2 linked regions of the Rattus norvegicus genome follow. The protein of the gene in region 2 interacts with the protein of the main gene of each other region in a biochemical or structural test. Links are inferred from orthologs where the notes say so. Each region holds a gene or a part of one and is shown on either strand. Other genes may lie near its edges. The genes, in order: Kctd12 and Gabbr2.

The links.
Region 1: the proteins of Gabbr2 (region 2) and Kctd12 form a complex in vitro, tested with the Homo sapiens proteins (2 studies listed by BioGRID). The link is inferred for Rattus norvegicus from reciprocal best matches to the Homo sapiens genes GABBR2 and KCTD12.

Annotation. Positions count from the first base shown.
Region 1 is NC_086033.1:86,217,821-86,222,397, forward strand, and holds the start of Kctd12 (BTB/POZ domain-containing protein KCTD12), read right to left. Parts: upstream 2,906-4,577; 5' UTR 2,708-2,905; coding exon 1,724-2,707; 3' UTR 1-1,723. UniProt on the Homo sapiens protein: Auxiliary subunit of GABA-B receptors that determine the pharmacology and kinetics of the receptor response. Increases agonist potency and markedly alter the G-protein signaling of the receptors by accelerating onset and promoting desensitization.
Region 2 is NC_086023.1:65,755,067-65,758,875, reverse strand, and holds part of Gabbr2 (gamma-aminobutyric acid type B receptor subunit 2 precursor), read left to right. Parts: intron 1-1,591; coding exon 1,592-1,774; intron 1,775-3,809. UniProt on the Homo sapiens protein: Component of a heterodimeric G-protein coupled receptor for GABA, formed by GABBR1 and GABBR2. Within the heterodimeric GABA receptor, only GABBR1 seems to bind agonists, while GABBR2 mediates coupling to G proteins.

The sequences.
Region 1 (4,577 bases), on a different chromosome or scaffold from region 2:
AAACACATCTCTGAGTGAAATGGTAAAACAAGCACACACATAAAAAGGCTTCTCCGTAATCACAGATCATCCAAAAGATGCCTGTCAGCAGGAAGCGTACGGATTCACCTCCTTCCGGCTGTGGTGTGCACAGGATCCACGCTGGGAATTCATTCCACGTGGGACTAAAGGCGTAAGGCAACCGGGTCTCCTGCTTCTGCTGCGTTCACCTAAAACACCGCGTTATTGCTCAGCCCACACTGAAGTATTTGTTTGCCTTCATTTAAAGAACATCCCACTTCACAGCTCTCTACAGATGGGCAGCTCCCAGGGCGCTTCCGTTTGTCTTCAGCTCTGACAGGAGCAGATTCCACTGCAACGTCAAGCAAACGCATGAAAGGGCGAGCGAGCCTTGTTCCGGTTTTCAGAACTGCCTAGGAGTCCACACTTGCTGGGCTTGCAGAAAACAGCAATTTAAAAATACTACTACTACTAATAATAATAATAGTAAGAGATCTTAAGTCTAAGTAACTAAAATCGAACTTATTTTTGCTTAAGTAAATAGGCTAAAAATGAGGAAATACAACCAACAAGAAAATAAATGTTCAAAGCACTAAAATTCTACTAGGTAACTCTTTGGTTAGGTTAGACGGGTATTAGCAACTAAGTTTAGGACTCAAAATGGCTCGATAGACTTCCAGCTGAAGATAGGTCTTTTACTAACCTTGATAAAATCTAAGTTTACACGTACTGTTTCATATTTTTTTAAATGTGCACGTACTCAAGTGGATCATACAAACGTCCAACTCTCAAATAATAAATGAGTATGTCCCCTCCTCCCTCCCGCCCTTCCTCCCCTCTTTCCTCCCTCCCCAACCCTCCCACAGTCCTAGACCTAAGTAAGGGCTGTCTGACCCTACTAACCATTCCTGTATTAATTGGTCACCGCGGGCCTAGGCAACCTTGCCCCCTGCTCCTTGCTCCTAGCCTAGAAGTACTGACTTAACCAACAAAACCTAGAGCTCAGGCAAGTAGCTGAAGAGAAAGGGCGCCTCCGCAGGCAGGAGGATTGCTTTCTACAATTTTAAGCCACAGGAGATCTATTGCCAGTACTAGAATTTACTTCTACCTGTAACTTTAAAAAACAAAAAAAGCACTTTATTTACAGTCTTTGAACTGCCTCCATGGGGTCTTAATTCCAACTTACGGTTTTCCTTTCGGTTGTCTAAAACTTTTATCTTTCTAATGAGGATCAAGTCCGTAACAACGTTTTAAAACACTGTCTCCACACAGCGCTCTCAGTTCTGATCTCTGAAAACCGCTATGGAGTCAAAGGGTTTAAGATTTCAAGGACTTGTCCTCACTGCACGCCAGACACCGTGCAGTCGGGGTCTGAGCAACTCAGTCATTCCCAGATACTTGGCGACTGCTCCCGCACTGCCCCACTAGATCACGACAATCTGGGGGGAAGGGTGTTTGGAGGCCCGGAGTAGAGGAAGCGTGAGTGAAGGGCTACATCTGGGCACTCTCTCGGTTAGTGGGGTCCAAAGAAGACGAAGAAGCCCAGAGGATTTGTGGCTGCAGATTCTCAAGTGGGGAGCAGACGGGTCTGGGCGAGCTACTGGGGGCCTGGGGGCGGGGCAGAAGGAATGGGGAGACAGGGAAGGAGCGAGGGTATCTATAATCCTATCCCCCGCGGGGAGGAAGGGAAGTGGGCTCCGGAGTGGCGAGGGGCGTGGGGAGCTCACTCCCTGCAGAAGACGTACTCGGTGTAGCTGGTCCAGATCTTGTCCTCGCTCTGGTCGGTGCTACTAGCAAAGGCGCAGGTGCCGGTGGAGCTGCACGCCACCATGTGGAAGCCTGACTCCGACAGCTTATCGAACGCCTGCTCTAGGAAGTTGAACTTGAGGTAATAGCGCGAGGTGTAGCGCTCCGGGGGCCGGTCGGGGTCCCGGCTCTCATTCAGGGTGTCCCCAAACACCTCCTTGGCCAGCGACGTCTTGCCGCACACGGTGATGCGCGCCACCCTCCGGAACTTGGCGTCCGCCTGAGCGTCGCGCCCGATGGTGTAGGAGCCGCGGTAGCCGATGGTGATGTAGCCCGAGCGCCGGCTGCCGTCCAAAGACTGGGACGGCGTGAGCAGGGGGCCCGCCGCGCCCCCGGACGGGCTACGGCTAGCCAGATCCAGCGTGGGCGACGGCGCCCCGGCCGAGGCGCCCTCCTGCGGCTCCGGCTCCGCGTAGCCCAGCGGCAGCAGCTCGTCGCCCAGTGAGCCCTCCTTGTGCACCCCGCGGCGCGAGTGCGGCGGCGGTGGCCCCGGACCGGGCTGCTGGGGCGCCCCGAGGCGTCGCACGAGCTCCGGCAGCTCGAAGTACTCGGCCTCGCGCTGCAGCCGGCTGCGCTCCGGGAAGTAGTCGGGCAGCACGAGCTGCAAGTCCCGCAGGTAATCCAGGATGTAGCGGAAGAGGAAGCCATCCCGGTCCAGAAAGAAGCGGCCTTTGCTGTCCCGGGCCAGCTCCTGCGGCTGCTGCTGCGTGAACATACGCCAGAGCAGCGAGTCGGGCACGGACACCACGGTACAGCGCCGGGTCACATACACCTGCCCTCCCACGTTCAGCTCCACGATGTCCGGGAAGAGCGGCGGCTCCGCTGAGGACGACGACGAGCCGCTGCCACCTCCGCCTCCGCCCCCGTTGGGTAATCCTCGGGTGCTGTCCGCCAGAGCCATGGCCAAAAAGAGGTGGCCGGGCTGTGCCAAGTGGCAGGGAGCGGGGTCGCGATCAGAAGCCGCAGCGGCTCTTAGCCCGGGAGCCCTGCGCTCAGGCGGCGGCTGGCCACGGAGAGCCGCGCGGAGCGAGCGCGCAGCAGTGCGCCCACGAGAGCCCCGGTGCGCTGCGCCCGCCTCGCCCGCGCGCTCCAGGCGAGTGGCGGGTCGCGGCCCGCGCGCCGCTTAAGTAGAGCCGCCCGCTCGGGCGCCGCGGCGCGCAGGAGGCGTGGGCGGCTGCGGAGCCGCTGAGCTCGCTCCCGGGGCGGGGAGGGCTGGGGCGGGGTGGGGGTGGGGGAGGAGCGGGGAATGCATTTGCATGCTAAACGCTGACGCGGCTCCGGGCAGCAGGCTCCACCCTGACCCGCGCGCTCCGAGGGGCGACCCGGCTGTCACCGCCCGCCCCAACCCAGCTCCTCTTCTTCCTCCGCAGTGGGTCAGAGCCTCGGCGCTTCCCCAGGAGGCTGTTCTCTAAAGCGAACATCTTGTGTCCCCACCTCCCCTCCTGCCGCCCTTCTCGGCTGACCGCAGCCCGCACCCGGGGACTCCAGAAGGGGTTGGAAACTTTCTGGCAGAGTCGAAAAGCTTGGTTGCCTGCGGCTAGCGCCCTCTAGACCTACAGGCTTCTAACAGTGCAGAGCGCTGCTGTAGAACATCCATCCCTGGGGCTCTGGAAGTTCTGAAGGGACGCGGGGGTCCCTCCAAACCCAGAGCACCCAAAGGTTTTTCACGTGACTACCGTATAGCCTCGAAAAATCCCTAGCAACCACAAGAGGATGCTTCGCGAAAATGCTCTGTTAGATTATTTTACGAGTGCATAAAGTCTCTGGTTAGGAAACTTCAACATAGTACAGAAATGACTAGGAGAGGAAGTTGGGTGGGCACAAAAGGTGGGGGGCTGGTACTACGTCGCCATGAAAACTACTAAGTGCCTCCAAGAGCGGACTGCGAGGCATCCAGTTCCTTTCTGTGAATTTCACCAGAAAATTCCAATCTAATATTTTCTTTTACTGATTTTATTAGTATCTAATTATTTTACTAAAATTCTACTAATATTTTATTTGTTCCTTGAAATTTTAATGCACATATACAAAAAAAAAATGACTTTCAGCCCCGAAGAGCTATTTTAAAAGTCCAGCAGCCCGTGTTCTCCTCCCTCCGTCTTTCTCTTCTGTGCTTGGCCAGACCGCCCACCAGAGAAGAGGATGTGTTTGAAGGCCCTTTAGGTCCAGCCCTGCTCTCTATGGTCTCCTACTAGCTCAGCGTTTGCAGTCACGCACAAATTGCAGTCCACAGAACTCTGCCTCCGCCGGGAAGCCTTCTGTGTTTCTCGCAGAGGGAGAGGCAGGTTGCTCTTCAAATTTCCATCTCTGCACGTGGCACGTGGGAGTGTTATCTGATCGCTGATTTTGGCAAATAAATAAGTAAAGGGTTCAAGGAGCCCTGGATAGAGGAGGCTCCAGGAAACCACGAGGTTAATAAATGCTCCTATGCATTGCGGGGCATCAGGCTGTGGAGAATTCAAGGCTGAATAGCAACATCTCCTTTCGAGCAGCCAAGAGGCAAAGGGTTGACCATCTGAACAGTTATCAGATCACTTTGAAGGACAGGCTGTCAATCACAATAAGCCCAGAAAGATCTTTGTCTTAATAACGATGTCTACCCTTTGTGTGACTGTCCAATGAGCTTGATCGTCTTCTCACGGACGAGTGTCACTTTCATTTCTGCAAATGTTTATGTCTGCCAAGCAATTACTGCGACTCATGCCACAGAGCTGAAGTAAAATCAGGCCCCAGACCAGCCTGCTTAATTGCAGGCACAGATTTTTGATACT
Region 2 (3,809 bases):
GACAGCCTTAGAAATGGCGTTACCGGGTCAAAAGGAACAACCCCTCTTAGTATCCACCCACATCTTCCAGTGCAAACGCATCCACCCTTTTGATGTTGTGACACAGTGTTGGCCTCTGCAAAGTTCATGCTCCAGAACCAACTGTTAACTCAACTGGGTTTTTAAGACTCACACACAAGACAAGGCGTAGTTTCAAGTGAGCTTATGGTTGTGTGCTGGGCAGCATTCACTGCTCTCAGCAGCCACGCGTCCCCTGTAGGATACAGCTGTCACACCAATCTAGAGAACCGGCTTGAAGAGATATTTTGCAAGCATTATTCTTTGCAGCCATGAATAAAGAGACTTTAACCTCTCAGGGCCCTGTGCAGCCTGACCGATATATAAATCTTTAAAAATTGAATATATTAGAAAAAAGAAAAGTAAAGCTAGCAAGATGAGTCAGAGGCTAAAGCCCTTGCCACAAAGAGCTGACAACCTGAACTGGAGCCCTGAAACCACAGAGACGTGGAAAGAAAGAGTCAGCCCCACAAGCTGTTCTCTGACCCTCATGTGCATACCTTGCTATGTGACCACACAATGATAAAATAATAACGATAGTAATAAGGGTGATGATAATAATACCCCTCCCCTAAGTTCCTCTGCCTGTGCTGGGTTTCTCTTCTCCACTGTCCCTTCAACCCGACCCCAACTCCCCACCCCATTCCAACCCCTCACCCACAGCACAGCAGGTCCTGGTAGCCACTCCTGCCTGAATCCCTCTGGCCGATGACAATGAAGTTCTTCTTCACACCTACACCCAAGGCTAAGGAGTCCTTATAGAGGTTATGGAAACTCTACTCCTGGTCTCCAGGGCTAAGCCCAGAGCCCACCATGGGCTAGAGAAGATTCTAGAATGTGTGGATAAGGTTAGAGTCATGGGGCAACTTTTTTGTCTCAAGTTTTTTTCCCCCAGTGGGGCTGGGAAGGTACTACAATAGTTGACAGCCCAAACTGCTCTCACAGAGGGTCTAGGCTCAGTTCCCAGCACCCAACTGCAGCCCCAGAAGATCTAACTGCCGGCCTTCACCCCTGCCTGCATTGCATGTACACACATAAGCACCCCACATATATGCACATACACATGCATCATTAAAAAGGAAGTAAAAATCAGCTTCAATTGCTCGATCATGTCCAGACCCCTTCCCCACAGAACCTGTATTATAACAGATGTGAGGGGTTTTGAGCTGCTACGTGCCTTTGCCAGGACAAACAGGTCAACAGCTAGTCTCTAACTCACCCTGGAGTCGTCTTCACCGTCTTCCATTTTCTTGTTGTAGAAACTCTCCACAATGGGATCTTGCCCAAGGTCTTGGACTGCCTCTGCCCCTCTGGTAGGGTATGAATGAGCCAGTCAGAAGGCTGACTCTCGTATCCCAGAAGGACTTTGAGGCTCAGTGACTGGGAAGCTACCTGCCCACGGTCATGCCCAAGCCTGTGCCAGAGCTCAGCGTGGGCCTCTCTGGGGGAGGGGGTGGCCTGTCAGTTCGGACTTGGTTGGGGAGAGAGAGGAGCACTGCAGGAGTCTCACCGCAAGCCACCTCTGTCCCTTCAGCTCATCACTCTGAGGACAAACCCTGACGCAGCCACTCAGAACAGGCGGTTCCAGTTCACACAGAACCAGAAGAAAGAAGATTCGAAGACCTCCACTTCAGTCACCAGCGTGAACCAGGCGAGCACGTCACGCCTGGAGGGACTGCAGTCAGAAAACCACCGCCTTCGAATGAAGATCACAGAGGTGCGCCCACATCTGGAGGCTACCCATTCTCCTGCCCAGGTCCCTTCCTGGTCTCCAACCCATCCCTGCTCCATAGTTCTCTAGAGCACCCCAGGCCATGGCAGCAGGGAGCTAAGCACATCTGATCCAAACTTAGTGCTAGGAGGACCCTATAACTCCCATGGTAAAAGGGTGCAAAGATAGGCTTCCCCAGAGATGGCTGTGCTGTGGCTAACCTGTCCCCCCATTCCAACCCCAATTCCCTCTCATTCTCAATTCCTAGGGTTCTGACTGGACCTATACCTGGGCTGAGTCAAGTTAGGGTACTGGCCAAGCAACAGTAACAAAGGTTTCAAAAGCAAGTAGCCCCAAAAAGGAGGCTAGAAAGGGAGGGCCATGAGCTGGAGGCCAGCCTGGGCTGCATAGCAAGGCTCTGTCTGAAAAAAGAAAGTATATTGCTTCTCTCTTACTTAGTGGACTTGAGGACTGGGGTCACAGCTGGGCAGGGTCATTTGTGGGCTGTGGCTTCTCTTCTGCTTCCTGCCCATTCCCCAGGCTCAGTAGGACAAAGACATGGCCTCAGTCTCAGGAAGAAGAGACACAGAAAGCCCACATAAGGGATTACCCCGTAAGCAAGTGACACACACACACACTCACACACTCACACACATACACACAAGCATGCTCACACAAATACACACGCATATTCACACACATACTCTCTCACATATATGCACACACACATATATACACTCATACACACACATACACACGTATTCTCACACACGCTCTCACACATACACATGCATGCTCATACACACACACACACACATACAGACACGTATTCTCACATACACGCACACTCTCACACATACACACAAACACACACACGTTCATACACATTTCTCTCTCACAAACACACTCACACACACACACAATTTGCTTACGGTTTTGTTCTGTCTCCCTGTGCTGCCAAAAATTTCATGAGCTCGTTTAGCCACAGAGCACAGAGGAGCCTGGGAAATGTAACCTCTTGCCAGACACTTGCAGGGCAGAAGCTGGTTGCTAGATTGCATATGGAACGACCAGCTAATTCTGAATTTCAAATAAACTGCCAATCCTGTTTTCAGTAAGTATATGAAGGGGCCTTGGAGTCAGCACAAAGATTACTCCCCCAGAGGGACAAGCTAGGGGCTGCCTCTGGATCTGGCAAAGACAGCAGCAGGTGACTCTGCAGGACTAGTTTTTAAGGAGAAAAGGGCGAGTCTGTTCTAGGATGAGTTGGTGGATTCTGATTGGACATTTTAGTCAGAATAGCCAAGTAGTGAATTTTGATTGCTGGACTTTGGTGTTTTGATAGTTGGACCTTAGTGTTTTAGACAGGTAAAGGAAGTGCCCAAATCAGGCACCAGACCTTTAGAAATGTAATCTAACGGCTTAACAGGGGGTGGGAGGAGAGAGGTCAGGGCCCAACAACACCAGATTTGCAAGGCTTGGGCCTGTTAGAGATCCCTTTGGTACACGACTTACCAAGTGCAGGCTGTACCTAAACTGCAAAGAGGGCTCTTGAACTGCACTGGACTTCTCTGTTTTTATTTGCTAGGTCCAGCAACCTCTGTGGGGTTCACAGACCCCTGCCATACAGGGAGCCAGCACACTCATTCCACGCACCGGAAATGCTTTAAGATGGGTGCATCCTGCACCAGCTTCTGTGGCAATGAAAGCATCAGCTTTTGCCGCTCCGAGCCCATTGCTAGTTCATCAGACTCTATACCAAGTGACAGCACAGCACTGGTCTAAGCCTTCCACTTCCTTCTAGCAGTGTAATCACCCACTGCTGAGAGCCCCAGTGTGGCTTTGCTTGCCCTAGAACTGAGCCTCAATCGACGTCCCATTGGACAGATCCTCGGCTCCCAGCACTGCCTCTATGTAGCACAAATAAAAATAGGAGGGCTTTTTTCATTCATGTAGAAACTTATTAGGCAGCAACTTGGCCCCGACCTCAGAAGAGTGATTCAGTTACTAAATTCCCTTTGTGTTCTGTACCCACTAGCCA